Drosophila melanogaster: one gene and its partner. The protein of the gene in region 2 interacts with the protein of the main gene of each other region in a pairwise test. Each region holds a gene or a part of one and is shown on either strand. Other genes may lie near its edges.

Evidence for each region.
Region 1: the proteins of cert (region 2) and Hip1 interact in a two-hybrid assay, tested with the Drosophila melanogaster proteins (one large-scale study listed by BioGRID).

The regions. Positions count from the first base shown.
Region 1 is NT_037436.4:12,767,652-12,775,150, reverse strand, and holds Hip1 (huntingtin interacting protein 1), read left to right. Parts: upstream 1-1,577; 5' UTR 1,578-1,840; coding exon 1,841-1,876; intron 1,877-1,931; exon of another isoform or gene 1,932-2,407; intron 2,408-2,567; coding exon 2,568-2,989; intron 2,990-3,048; coding exon 3,049-3,779; intron 3,780-3,835; coding exon 3,836-3,945; intron 3,946-4,009; coding exon 4,010-4,756; intron 4,757-4,812; coding exon 4,813-5,248; intron 5,249-5,314; coding exon 5,315-5,719; intron 5,720-5,776; coding exon 5,777-6,264; 3' UTR 6,265-6,589; coding exon of another isoform or gene 6,590-6,640; 3' UTR 6,641-6,719; downstream 6,720-7,499. Other genes in the region: CG32106 (uncharacterized protein), read left to right, coding at 1-1,154; Vps13D (vacuolar protein sorting 13D), read right to left, coding at 6,590-6,640, 6,799-7,499.
Region 2 is NT_037436.4:8,283,775-8,291,710, forward strand, and holds the start of cert (ceramide transfer protein), read right to left. Parts: upstream 6,097-7,936; 5' UTR 5,939-6,096; intron 5,710-5,938; 5' UTR 5,675-5,709; coding exon 5,396-5,674; intron 4,447-5,395; coding exon 4,054-4,446; intron 3,984-4,053; coding exon 3,835-3,983; intron 3,601-3,834; coding exon 3,540-3,600; intron 2,696-3,539; exon of another isoform or gene 2,419-2,695; coding exon of another isoform or gene 2,353-2,418; intron 520-2,352; coding exon 295-519; intron 231-294; coding exon 1-230. Other genes in the region: CG7201 (uncharacterized protein), read right to left, coding at 6,810-7,083, 7,140-7,551, 7,620-7,936.

The DNA of each region.
Region 1 (7,499 bases), 4.5 Mb from region 2:
CTGATTCTTTGAGTAACAATCCACCATCCTCAGAAAATAGACGAAAAGCCCCATCCCAAACATCTTACCCAGTACTTAGACGTATTCAAAGAAATGATTCAAACAATTCGCAAGGCGGAAGATTCATTTCGGCCAGCAGCCAATATCCTGACCAGCACAGACAAGATGAATACCTAGCTTGTGATAGAAATAATAGTGACCAAAGCCATCGCGATAGTCATCAAAACGAGGACGGGTCGCATAATTCAGCTATGGTTGGAGCTTCTGGGTATTCTACTGACTTAACTTGGACAGATCCACCTCCGAACTCCCAATTACTAGCTCCCAATACATCGACTGACGTGGAAACACTGGAAACGGTAACCCTAATGCAACCTCGAAAACTTCGTAGTTGTGAAAGTGCTGGGATCAGAAACCAGGCAAATATCAATGGGAACACCGTTCTTATAGAGACAAGAACTCCCTGTAACAGGGAAATTCTACTCCAGACCTGTGGACGACCGCCCTGTAACTCGTGTCCTTATCAATACACGGGTCTTCCTCCGAGTCTCCATCAAGGATTTACGAAGCCACCGGATCATATGCTACAACCGCAGATCTCTGTGAGTGCTCCACAAAATGTCACTCCTTTCGATGAAGGGTACCTTATAGATCCGCGGGATCAGTGGATGCCCACTAAGTCACCAGCTTCAGCACCAGCCGTGCAGCATCAATTTCAAATGAAGGAACAATGTCAGCCGGATCATGGATCCTATCATCATTTTCAGGAATCTGTACATACTTCAGACCCAAGTTCCTCTCAGGCCAGAAACCCTGACTACAATCCTCAACTAAAAGAGAACATTCGAATGCTTCCAGATGGATTCTATGAACGCACCGTGAATAAGTATAATATAACACGCATGGATTCCAACTTCCAGCCACCGGAATTTTCACTGCAGCCAAATTTTGTTCACGGAGAACAGCATCCTACTTTCAGACACCACGCTTGTCCTTATAGCAATCAATATCATCATCCGCAACTGATGATGACATCCGTTCCAGATCCCAATCGACGTTACATTCCACCACAAAACCAATACCCAGCCGAGATGTTTTGGCCACAGCAAAATGTACATTTGGATTACTATGATCAATCGGAATACCAAATTTAATCCAAACAGTTGGAAGAATACATTAAATTAAAATTACTTTAAAAACAAATTAAAATTGTCGTTCTTTTATTTAAAGTAAAAATATGGTAGCAGATCTATAAATATCGAACAAAATCTATCTTTTTAGAAAATCAGTACACAAAAATTTCAAAAACACATTCTAAAGCTTTTTTTTAAACCATCGTATAAAATCAAATTAAATTAAATTTTTAACTTAACTGAAGTTTTATTGAAAGCGTTCGATGTTATAATTTAAATATTGGTTCATTTAAGTGTATTTCAATTCAAATATCCTTCGATTTAATGGAAAAAAATAAAAATTTGCAAAACATTTTTTTTCGCGCTCAAAATGGTGATGCAAGAAGTTGATGACTATCGAAACGAATCGATAGGGTAAAGCCCGCATATCGGAACACCGCCCAGCTCTATTAACTTTTATCGATAAAGGAAAACAACATTTGTTTATATGACTAATTTACTCTTACACTCATTGTTTCATACACGCACACGATCGGAATCCGAATGAATACGAACGCGACCAATACGAAAACAATGGCCAACATTGTTGATAAGATAAGATAACTCCCGTTTCCAATGTCTTTGCTGTCTTTGCTCTAATGCACATATATCGCGCTGCGAATGATTCGAATTTGTTCAGCAAGTACGCCAAGAATTGTCAGTAAACAATGGCAACTCACGCCGAAAAGGAGTTCTACCACCTGGTACGTAAGCCCAAAGGAAAGCCAAGAAAACCGCCAAGAATACCCACAGCAGATTATAGGCACACGGATGTTGTCATATCATGTGCATAGTGTAAATACCTAAATGTTTATGCACACAACTACAGGCGCGCCGCTCAAATATGCATAAACATTTCACTTAAGAAGTCAGCCTTGAACCAGATTATATGGAACAGCTCGAAATATCATCAGCTTTTCACACGACTTGCAACACCACAGAGACTACACTACATGCTAATCCCAAGTTTCTCCGCTTCGGATGACCCAGAAAATTAGAAACTGCAATGAATGCTATGCGGACTACATCCACTTTGATCAATTGTTCAATGTGCACACAAAGGCCTTTCAAATTTTTTGATTATCAACCCAAATTCGGCACGATAAGAAGTGAAATCCAGTATTTAGATTACCTTCTGTTATCATAAATTCATATCAAACACATGGTGTAGGTGTTTGGAATCTTATTTTTAAAAGCATCGAAATGTTTGCACTTCCAAACTAAATAGTCGATCAGTGAGTCACCCCCTTTAGATCGAATTCCACTAAAAAGTATAAAACTATAGATATCGTCCGCCAAAATCCGTCCATATCTTATAAGCTGAGTCAGTCACTTCTTCGAAAGTGTACAACAATAAAAAGCCATTTAAACTATAATATTTACATTTCATTTCAGAACGTCAGCGTGTCCAAAGCTTTAAATGGCCTGGAAGCGCCACTCAAAACCAAACATGCCCGCTCCATTATTATTATGATACACAAGGCCAAAGAGGCCAAAACATTCTGGATGATCATCTCCCGGCAGCCTTTGATGCAGAGTAGATTTACTGCCTGGAAGTTTTCGCATCTGCTGCACAAGGTCCTGCGAGAGGGTCATGAAAGTGCCATCCGCCACTCGCAGAGCCACAAGAAGATGATACTGGAGGTGGGAAAAATGTGGGGCCTGCTGCAGGACGATATTGGATGCTGCATACAGGCGTATAGTAAGCTCTTGGCCACAAAATTAAACTTCCACGACAAAAATCGAATGTTTCCCGGCACCCTGAACATTTCGTTCACGGAACTCTTCATTGCTGTGGATAGGGATTTAAATTATTGGTAAGTAAAAATAGATATATATTACTTTCAAACTACTGAGACAGAACCATTGATTCCAGTTTTCAACTGTGCGTGGAAATTTTCGACTACTTGGAGGATATAATTGCGCTGCAATTGACGATATTTTCATCTATGGAAAAGTACAGAATGTCGTCGATGACACCGCAGGGACAATGTAGATTAGCGCCAATAGTTTGCCTTATCCAGGATTCCAATGCGTTGTACGATTTAAGCGTTCGGTTAATGTTTAAACTACACGATGGTGTACCATACGACGTTGTTTCCGGACACAGAGATCGCTTTCACGGTCTGTTTTTAAAGTTGAAGAGTTTTTACAACAACGTGCGACCGCTTCAGTATTTCAAGGACCTAATAACAATCCCGGAATTGCCGGACTCAAGTCCTAACTTCAAGTCCCAAAACGATTTCACCAGTTATGTACCGCCAGTGGTTCACGTTCCCCAGGAGCCCGATCCGGTTGTTGAAGACCTTGTGGATACCAACAATCACGAGCTGGAAGCCTTCAGTCAAGCCCAGCAGCAGCTTAGCATGTTGGAGGGTATAATCAGCGAGAAAGAGGCTAGCATTGAGGAGCTGTCATTCAAATTGGACGCAATGCAAAAAAATTTCGACGCACTGCAGCAAAGCTACAGACACGACGTTCAGGAGTTGCAACAGAACAATACTGTGCTGTCAAATGATCTGGTCTTGGCGAGAGAAATGTGTGCCACCTTTCGGATGCAAAATGACGATCTTGAGATGCAACTGAATCAGAACCCAATTCTTTTACGTAATTAAATGCTTATTAAACATAATGAAGTCATATAAAAATACCTTGTATTTCAGAAAAAGCTATGGAGGAAGAAGAAAAGCACAAGTTGTCGTCGGAAAAGTTTAATAAACTTAAAACTCTATACACAAAGATTCGAGATGAGCACATTCAGCTGCTGAGAGAGGTATGCAGAAACACAATATTTTCTATTTCCTATACTAATATTCATTCATATACTTTTATATCAGCAAAGTGATTGCAACAAGTCCTTAAATAAAGAGAAACAAGTAAACTCACAACTATTGTTGGAAACTAAGGAGCTTACCAATGAAATTTCCAAAATTAAAGTAAACGTAGAGGAAAAAGAGAAAACAAACTTGATTCTGCAAAAGCAAATCGAAGAGCACAAGGAGAAAATAGCACATCTTGAAGCAGTCAAAAACGAGATGAAGGAGAAATTCGATGATGTGGTTAAACAAAAGGAAATTCAGGAACTCGATATTATTTCCACTTCCGAAAACCTGAGGCTAAATTGCCTCAAAGTCGAAGAGCTTAATGGAAACCTCAATGACACCCTGGAAAAACTGTCGAACGCCGAAAGCCAAATAAATGCAAAGACCGAGGATATCGAGAAAATGCTAAAAGCTTTTGAAGCGGAAAAGGCATTGCTCTTAACTCAGATTGAACAACAGAGTGTTGAAAGTAAAAGCCATAGTGAAGCTCAAAACGCTCAATTGCAAGAAATAATGGATAACTTGGAACAAAAGGATAAAGAGTTCAATGAAGTTAAGCTTCAGCTGTCCAGCGCAGAAAGCCAAATCAGCTTAAAGGCATTGGAAATTCAAAACAATTTAAAGGCATTTGAAGCGGAAAAATCAGTGCTATTAACTAAAATAGAGCAGTTAGGTATAGAGCATAAAAACAACAGCGAAGCACAAAATGCTCAATTGCAGCTAACTTTAAACAACTTGGAGCAAAATGAGAGTGCATTACAGGTAAATGAAACCAATTTAAATCAAGAAAATTATAGAAACTGCTTTTCTTTCTTCAGCAAACCCAGGAAATTGTGAATCAATTGAGGCAGGAAAATGCTTCAGCGGGTCAGCGTAACGAGGATTTGCAAAGCAAACTCTCGCTTACTGAGGTAAAACTAACCCAAGCAACACAGCAAATTGATGCCGTGACAAGTTCGTACCAAATCTGTAGTACCGATTTGAGTGAACTCAGAAAATTGGTGATCAAGACTGTAAAGGAAATATGCAATTCGAAGTTGAGCGGATCGGAACAACAGCCTTTGGATGCGGTGCCAAACATAATACGCGAAATGGAGACCATTTTAAATAAGTTCAATAACGCATCGGCTATAAACTATGTTGCTTCAACCGAAGGACTGCAAAATGTTATGTATCTGGGTTATGTATTTATAAAACTATACGATCAATGTGATGTTATCTACAAAACAACAACTGCAATTGAGACAGGTCAGGGTAAGTTGATAACACTAAAAACATAACCACCTACAGCAAACTAACTTTGTATTACTTATTTTGCAGAAATTTTCTCAAAAACAAATTTGTTATGTACCGATATCTGTCAATTGTTCCAATACTTATTAAATAATGAAACAAAAGAACCCGAGAGACAGAAAACAATCACTGATATACAAACAAAGCTGAGAGATATTGAAAAGCTGATTGAGAAAATAAAGGCATCATTTGAACAGAAGATTGATTTAGATAAGCTGCTCGAAATCGAGCTTCGCGAGATGGACGCTGCGATTGATGATGCAGCCTCCAAAATTACAGATCTACTGGCAAAGGCTCGAGAGAAGGACAACCAAACCAATTTAGAGGTAAACGGAAAAATAGTGGATGCGTGTACCACCTTGATGGAATGTGTCAAAGCTCTAATCCAAAAATCTCGTCTCCTGCAACACGAAATCGTGGCTTCCCAAAAAGGTAGCTAACAATATTTTTTAATTCAATGAAGTTACTGACAAGTAATTACTCTTTCAGGAAATGCGAGTGCTAATGAGTTTTATAGGCGGAACAGTCAGTGGTCAGATGGTTTGATATCCGCCTCGAAAAGTGTGGCGAAGGCAGCCAACTATCTGGTGGAAGCTGCAAACAAGGCTATTGAAAGTGAATCTGGCAAGAACTTTGAACTCATTGTGGCTGCCCAAGAAATTGCTGCCTGCACGACCCAAATGGTTATTGCGAGCAAAGTCAAGGCTGAACGTAATAGTCAAAAGCTAACCGACCTCACAAAAGCCTCGCGAAGCGTAACGCAGGCAACAGGAACTCTGGTCGCCACCGTGAAGGATTGCAACTCCCAGCTGGAGCAGCAGAGTGAAATAGAACTTTCTAAGCTAACGCCATCACAGATTAAAACGATGGAAATGGAAATTCATGTTAAAGTACTCGAAATCGAACAAGCTCTCCAAATGCAACGACTAAAACTCTCATCGTTTCGTAAGGAGCATTACAAGAATGCCGATTATTAAATACCATATTTATTAATGTTACTAACTTTACAAACATTCTTTTTTGTATTAATGCCCGTCATGACAAATAATATATCTACACAATATTTACACTGCGGTCATTTTATCCTACAATGAATCCGTAATATCTGTTTATAGTATTCCGTGTCGATCGCTTTTTGATCCTTGATTTATATCACACCATAGTATGTGGGTTCATTATTTCTTAAATGTTTATTTTACTTACTACTTGAAATTAAAATAGCACTTATTGCCAAAGAAAATAAAATGTAACATTTGTTGTCAAAAGGTTTTTGTTTATTATCACGAACCGACCTATTGCATTTTATAAAACGGCATGTTCACGTTCATCAAAGACACTTTTAGCGTAGTTTATCTAAAAGAAAAAGACAAGTATGGAATATATGTGATAATCATTTCAAAATTTGTAAAAGTAAATAAATTATATGATAAACAAAGTCTGCGCTTCAACAATAATAGTTTATTATTGAAAGATAATTTCTACTAATTTCTGCTAAGATGATTTCTACTTACGCATCTTGATGCTGCCTCAGCACATTCCTCGGAACGACACCGTATCCTGGGCCTGGTAATCTTTGGAAGATTGGTTGATATCTCGATGTAGTGACTGGCCGACGCCCTGCTGCTCGTGGTTGGCGTTGTGCCGGCATTCGTTACCACTGGATGGCACGAAAGAATCTCACTAACATGACATTCAAACATAATGGTTGGATTGGCGTCGCTTAGTGAAAAGATTCGTACGTATTCTGTAGAAACCAGCAAGCGCAATCTAGCCTCCTTGTCGCTCCATAGATTGGGTTCATATGAAATTATCTTCTCCGAAAAGTTCTTTTGATTGATTAGGTACAGATATTGCTGCCCCTTGCTTTGGCGATTGGAATACAATGGCAAAAGACCACCAGGAGCACCAGTCACACATCTGGGTAGCCTTTTCCTTTCCGGAGCGTTTCTGTGACTATCTCGGCTTGTTTCACGAACGGCACTGGCAGTTTCCGATGCCAGGTCCAATACACCAATGATCGGTTTGGTGACAGTGCCTACTAAGCCCTTTCCCAATCCACTGAGAAAGCCAGGAACGCCATCGGAAGTGGCACCATCGTAAGTGTGTCTTACAATACTCGTTACTCCGCCCAGCAGTCCAAATCCGAGACCCTTCAGACCCGCTGCAAGGTGACCGCCGGATGTATTGGACTGCAGTTCCAGAATGCGTTGCC
Region 2 (7,936 bases):
TCCCAGTCATTTCGGAACTCGGGCATGAAGAAGTAATGGCACATTTCCCTCGCCGTCACGCCCTGCACCGTATGATAGGCCTTCAAGGGATCCATGACCAGCCCGTTGACCTCCTCCTCGCGTTTGTACATTTTGATCTCCCCCTCGTCGGCAAAGATTTGCCAGCCGTTGCCGTCTTGGCCAACGCCCTCGCGTGCGTAATGCAGTTGCTCCTTGCACACGCGATCGATCTGCGGGATAAATCCAATTATTGGCTGGTCGTTAGGGGGCCAGATTGGCAATTTCCGGTCTTACCTCCGGCCACAGGGCATGGCTGGTGGCCTCCGCACCCGTGCCGAACTCCTCGCGCGCCTCCTCGCCCTCGGCCACCGCCTCGTGTGGAACGTTGACCAGTGTCTGGGAGATCTGGGACTGCAGCTTAAGCTTGAAGCGCAGCTGCATGTCCTCCTCGATTTTGTCCAGGCCCGTTTCGACCGCATCGAAGAACTCATCCTCGGGCAATGTGGAATGTGGACCCTCCTGCGAAATTGAAAGGGAAATGTCATATTATACATATATCTCCATTAGCATCGAGCAAACTAAGTCAAGTTTAGCCCAAAAGCATCTTTGAAGGTTCGGCCTAATTAATTTTAATGACGAAACCGCATTCAATCCAATTGGAAAGAAATGGAACGTGCTTTGTATAAATTAATCGCCGACACTTGTGCGGCCAAATGGCCCAAGAAAATCAAATTTATGCTGTTGTTTTTTCGCCCATTCCATACCCTGACCAGTCGCCAGGCGGAGATTCTCGTAGTCGGCTGGCATGCGTAATTGGGCGAGCATAATGGACACAAAGGCGCATCATTGTGCCATGAATACGAAAGCAGAAGACCGCCAGACGGGGCTTGGTACTTGGTACTGAATCCCATTAAAGCAGTGGCATCTCGTGGGGAAAAACCACCAATAAGCTACACAATAATACTGCCGAAATTTAATTAAGTTGATAAATTTGCCATTTATAAAATTCTTTTCCTCCTAACAATGTGTTTCGAATTTCGCAACAGAGTTTACCAAATTGCTACTGTAATATACAAACAAAATCATAATATTTTGAGAGTATTTAGAATATTATGCTGAAATTAGGATTGATATATAGGAAAAGTGTCCCTTGAAGTTCGGCCCTTTAGAGGTATACATCCGCTCCATTCTGTGCTAGCCAGTGTTCACTGTACACATTCTGACGTCTGCGACTGGCGCGTGTATCCCCAGAACGGCAACCGGCGCAAAATAAATGCCTCGAATGGAATTTGTGCGGAATTGAATTGATATTTATTAATTAAAGCAGAGATGTGCGCAGCCAAAGGCGGTGAAATAAATACACCCTGCGGCGTGAATTCGAGTGCATAATCATCTTGACCAAGCGGCACTCGCAGCTAACCAACAATGAAGACATGGGCTATATGCGTACTTATTCCTGTGGCGTCGCTATGTCTCCTCTTACCAGGCTCCTCCACCAATTGTTGCAGTTGAACCCAACAAAAGCGAAGAGGTTTTTGGGCGGCAAAAATTAGGCTCCTTCTCAGCAGGAAAAAATCAGGAATCGCACCGCAAGAGAGCCAAAGAGAGAGAGAGAAAGGGTTGCGTGGCAGGCGAAAGCAGGAAAAGTGAGCGCACTTGTGTCCTGGCGAATCCTTCCGTCGAGCACAAGGACACAAAACAAACTGTTGCTGGTGGCCCAAACGCACTGGCCAACTTGGCCAGGATGAGCGGAGCAGAGAGAAGGCCAAAAAAAGAGAGCAGGAGAAAGCGGGCGACTGAGAGTAAAAAGCGAAAAGCGCACAGAGCAAAAAGCTCCAATGGATAGGATTTCTTGCATTTAAATAATAAATCAATTCTTGGGGTTCTTTGGCCACCGCACTTCAAACATTCAACATTCAAAAGCGAGTGGGGTGGCCCACTAATGAGGCCAATTTGGTTAGAAAAAACCAACATCAACATTTTATGAAACTTATTTTAGGCAACATTTCATACACTAAGGAAAAATACCATTATTTTATCAAAGCAATGCTTCCGAACTAATACTTTTATCATAATAAAAAAATATTTGACATTCCACATTCATAGCTGATTAGAAATTTTTCAAAAACACAACGATGTTTGTTAATATTTTTTATCAGCTATATATGCACATAGAAAAAAAATTCAAAATTACTAAAAGTGTTATCAAATTTTATTTGGAGATATATTGAAACGTTTATTGTTTATAAAAGTGATAATACGCCTTGAAATATTTCCATACGAAACACATATTATAAAAATATATTCCACCACTCCTTTATGTAAATTATTTATGATTTTAATTCAGTGTACCTTTATTTTTTTAACGCTGCCCTTCTGAAATCCGCCGGAGCGCCACAGAAATCGCGCCGAGGGCATAGCGTTGACGTTGTTTATAATTTTATAAATTTGTATATTTGTACAGTGATGCGTGCGGCGCTTTTATATTTGCAACATGAACTAGCGATTGCTACAATTGTGTACACTTGTTTATTTATTATAGCTCTTTCAATGCAACGCAAGAAATTTCACAATCTGCACACTCAATTAAATGCCACGACCAATATGAAAAAGAAACAGTCTCGTTTTGAATTGTTTGCCTAGCAAATTTGTTTATAATTGCTACGTGTTGGCCACTCGATCGCTAACCGCCGACTGACCAGCCTAGCTCATAAGCCATAAACCTGACAGCTGTAAGCCAGGCTAAAAGCCACAGCTCAAAAAGTGAGCCGCATATTGAATGCTCTAAGCTTGAACGTATAGTGAAAGATCACGTACATGTTTACTATATATTGTTCACTTAAATCGGGATTTTCTAACAAAATTTTCATATGAAGATCACTGAAGACGTAATAGTTAATATACCCGTTGCACAAAGTGCATTCTAGCCAACGGTTGGATCGTTATTCAACGTCAATATCTGCAATATTGGCTCGAAGTAGATCTTAAGCTACGCCCAACTGTCAAACAGGCCTAATGAAACCGTCTAGACGCCCAGTCTTTCAGCCTGAGTAGTCGCCAAGTAACCGAGCCAAGAATAACAACCAAGTTGAGCACTTACAATTCGTAGGAGAGCATCATTTTTCTAATGCTATTGTGGACATATGCCATTAAAATGGAATTGATTGGGCAAACAAATGTAAGCGGAAAAACGATATTGCATGACCAATTCCAGATTAACACGAACACGGGAACTTCGTGTCAGCCAAAATTCGGAACCAAATACTGGCATTCCATAATCGAATTGAAAACGCTTGAATAATAGTCCAGCGTGTTCTACTTTCCTTGCATATGATGAAATCTCTGACACAACGTCGAATCAGGCAGTTTATTTTAAGACGCCGACAAATCGCACGCAAATCGTTTATACGAATTTCGCGCCACTCATTCGGCGATTGTTTGCATTTTCAGTGGGAACGTGTTTGGCCCCGATTTGAGCAGCAATGACCGTGAATGCGATTACGCTTTTGCTTTTACGAGAGCTGTAAACTTGAACTCACCTCGAAATCTGGGCCAGGATACGATAGACGCTTCATTTTCTCAACTTCATCCTTGAGCTTTCTGCAAAGAAGAAACATAGAATTTTACCATAGTTTTAATATCGTTTAAATGAATAAACTTCAGAAATGAATGTACACATTAAATTTAAATACATTATTAATCCTTTTTTAAATAAATTAAACCATGAAATAGCATGATAATTTTTAAAGAAACGTATGGTTTTCAAGCAAATACAAAAAAGGTAATTGAAATTGCTTCTTCTTGTAGGAATCTATTCCGACTAGGTCAACCTACTTGCTTTGGTCCTCAGAACGTCGACGCTTATCTATTTCACGCTCCAGTTTCCGTTTCCATGACTCATCGCTCTCGGCGATGATTTCTAGGCAATGCTGCAGGGTGGTTAGCACGCCGGACGTTGTGGCCCGAAACGTGATGGATTCGCCCTGAGAAAATCGAGTGTTTTGCTTAGTACACTGTACATATACCAATGGCCCGATAAGTGCACTACTTTACCTTGAAATCGATGGACTTCAGACCGTCGCCCAGGTCCAGTGGTTGCGCATTGTTTTTGTTCACCTCCGAGCAGGCATCAAAGTATCGCTGCAGAGTCTCGATCTGTCCAAATAGTATATCCTTAAAGGTCTCCAGCTCGCCGACTTTTTCGCGCAGGTTGCGCTGCGTCTTCTTTAGGCTTCCTCCGCTGGTCAGCGAGATAGTGTTCGATTGCAGGCTCATGGTACTGCCATGGCGGCGCAAGGAAGTGGTGTCCGTGCTGCCGGAGTCCGCCTTGTACAGCTGCAGCACATCCACCCAGTGCATGCGGTCCTCGCTGGTCTCTGCCCGCAGGCACCAGTTATTTAAGTTGTTCACCACAACATCGAATCGGAGCTCGTCGGACTCATGGGCCTACAAAAGAAAAATAAACTTGAACTTAGTAAAAGGCACAAAATAGGTACAAATAAACGGTTTATCTTACTTATATTTTAAATGAAAATTTCATGCCAGTAATAAGCCAGTTATTAAAACGAAATACAATAAATTCGACGAAAAAAAAACCTAATTAACTTTGAATGGTTGATTATAGCGGAACGCAAATCAGTGGTAAACATGAAATCAACAAGGAAAACACCCGAATACAAGATTATTGTTGGCAAATGGAAATTACAGTGGAACCTGAATGAGTCAAAACACTAAGAGAAATTTGTGAAAATTAATTAAAATTTTAAATGAATCACTTGCAAATAAATCCAATTATTAGTAACTTAAACTACAAGTGAGCTGGTTTCACTGTAAAGTAATCCAAGTAATCCAATCATGATCGATTAAATCGGTGATAATTATTATTTGGATTGTTGGGAAAAATTCTTTGAACTAAATGAGGCTTCAATATCTTTGAATAAGATCAGTGTTCGCAAAGTCAAGGCGAATGAATGGAAGGGCCGCTTCTAGTGAGTCAGCATTGTGTATATGCTTTTGGCAGCTCCTACAGTATAAATAGATAAGTACACACTCATGGCGAAACACCCTCCTAGAACAACACGCCCTCCTGTCAACAGAAGGCCTTCTAGCAGCGCCTAGGTCTGAGGGGTACCCCACTTACATTGATGACTTCAATTTTGGTCTATTTTGGTCGCCCAACGTTAATTGATTGCGCTGCATTGATTGCGTCGCTCGGAATTGGATTGGGAATGGGTGTATTGGCTTGGGAATGGAAACGGAGACCTCAGGTCGCGGTCATCGTTGGTTAATGTGTCGCAAACACATGCGCACACACTCACGCCCATTACTTTTTTATTAGTCCAATTGAAAGCACTTGGGGAAGGAGCTCCACCCTCTCTCTTTTCGGCCGTCCTACCTTAATGGTGGCCTTGGTCAGGCTGATGGCTCCGCGGCACCCGAAATCCGACTCCGATTCGGATTTATAGTAGGAGAGTGTACCATCCTTCAGGACTATGTAGCGTGGCTGCCATCCATAGATGTAGTTCGTCCACTTGCTGAGATAGCCCCTCAGTTCGATACTGTTGTCCAGATACTCCTCCTCCTCGGAGGCATCGCTCTGGGACTGTGATCCCGCCGCTGCCTCATTGCTCGAGGGCGGCGATGCTCCCAGCGACTCCCCAGCGTTCGTGTCCATCCTCTTCCAGCTCCGGAGTTCAACTGCCAAGTTATCTATACAATGAAACGGTTCGGGGGTATCTTAATCAGCAGGTTGCCGCAGAAGATTAAAAATATATTGCGCCACGTCCGCGCAATGTAAACAACTACAATGCCGGCTGGCAATTTGATGGGAGCTCCTATCGTGATAATCCAATTCAATCAGCGATCGCATCGCCTGACTCACAGCACCGCCTTTTCGCGGTTCTGAAGCGCCAGCTGGCCCCCACCCAGGAGCACTCACCTTTCGTTTATTGATTTCCTCGACGATCCGCAAACATCTGTGCAACACGTAATGCTCTGGCTTGTTTGTGGGAGGCTTGGTAAATAAGCGAAGAGAACTCACGACGCTGATGTTTTTTTCGCTGCAAAACCAAAACAAAGCTGACCTAGAGATGGTCTGACGACCGACGGTTCCTTCGATAAGTCGTTACGCTATCGATGTCTTACTCTCGATAGTTGTCAGAAGTGCCTTTTTCTTCTTCTTATAAATACACAAAATTTGAATTTAAATCTTCCCTTTAAAATGAGCAATTAGTTAAGTAATTACATAACTACAAACCGAGCACTAAGTACCGTTAAGTATTATTTTGCTTCATATATTACTTTCACAAAAACATGGAGAGTACCCAAATCTAGCTGCCAGTGTAACCACTTTAATTTGGTTTCAAACTTTGATTTGTAACTGCTGATAGTGCTGTGCAATGCAGGCAGTTGTCGTTTTTGGCGCCAGTTTAAATCTAAAAACGCAATGTTGTACATATCTTGGCCATTATTGCCGTAAGTTGTTATTTGAATGAAAACAATTATAAAGCACCTTTCAAGGGAAATTTATTTTCTATTCATTCGACACGTTTTCATTTGTTGAAAGGAAGGAATTATGCCACAATTTCAATTATTTACAGACCACTAGACAAACATGGATACAAATCTAAGCAATTAACAACGCCTACGACTAACAATAAATACAATGCGTAAATAAAATAAATAATTATAAATTAATTAGTACACGTTAATTACAAGCAAGTGACTTTGAGGACGCGCTCAACTCAATCGTAATCCTAACATCTAGACGAGGTCAACAATAGGGGTTCGCATGGGAGTTGGTCATTGTTCTACATATACACATTGTTGTCCTGATCCCGAGTGGTGGGCAGTTGAATGACCTGCTCCTCATGATATTCGCCCACCGGTCTGTCTGTGGGTTTTGTCTTTTTCGTCTTGCTCGCAGGAGCTGGTTTGCTATACTTGCTGGACAAGGCCTTAAATATACTCTTCGGACAGTCCTTGAAGTAGGGAAAACATTCTCCTGGTGCTTGCTTTCCCTCGCCCACCTCCTGGGCTTGTACATAGTCGGGTACCAGGTCGGAAAACGGAGATTTGGTTACCCTATAAGAGAGATCTGTGTAACAAAGAATCACGATTGAAAGGAGGAAATTACTCACGTTAAAAATAGCTTTGTCATTTCTCCAAAGACACCGAACTTCTCCAAACTTCGTGAGTGCATCTCACAAATGGTTCTCAGCAAACAGGCCTTGCCATCCATGCCAAAGGTGGATAGAAAGTCCTCCACTACGCCATAGAGCAAAACCCGCTCTCCGCCATGGAAAATATGCTGCAGTCCGGCTGGCAGCTCCGGATACTTTGGACCCTCTTCGTGTATCCTAAAGGGATGATCCTCGTTGCTTCTGCTCCGCTGCTCGCTGAGATCCCTCTTCCTGCGCTGGACATGCAGATACCTCGCCACATATTCACCAACCATGTGGCCTGCCTCGTGACCAAAGGAGCGGGCGAACAGCGGCGGCAGATCCCCCAGAGGATTTTGGTTGTCTGTCAGGCCCAGTTTGTCGAAGTCAACTGTGGATTGAGGCAACAAAAATCAGAGTTAATTGATTAATCATTGACATTGAGAGCTGTCTACGCACTGGTGACGGGAAAACTGATGGTCAGGTTGGAGAAGAATCCCTCGGGCGGATGCCGAACCAGGGGCATGGCAATGGTTGGCACGAATGTCAGCGAAGTGCCCGGCGGCAGGGCCAATCTGCCATCATCCGTAATCCAGATGAGTCGCTTCTTGCGTATGTGCGGCGTATCCGGGGAATCGGCATCGTAATCCGGCCTGGCTTCGGCTTCCGCATCCGCCAGCTGCGCTGCCATATCCAAAGCCTGGCCAGCATCCGCCTGTCGATTGAGTGCCAATGCATTTGGACACAAGCTGACAAGTGGCAGCAGCAGTAGGAGG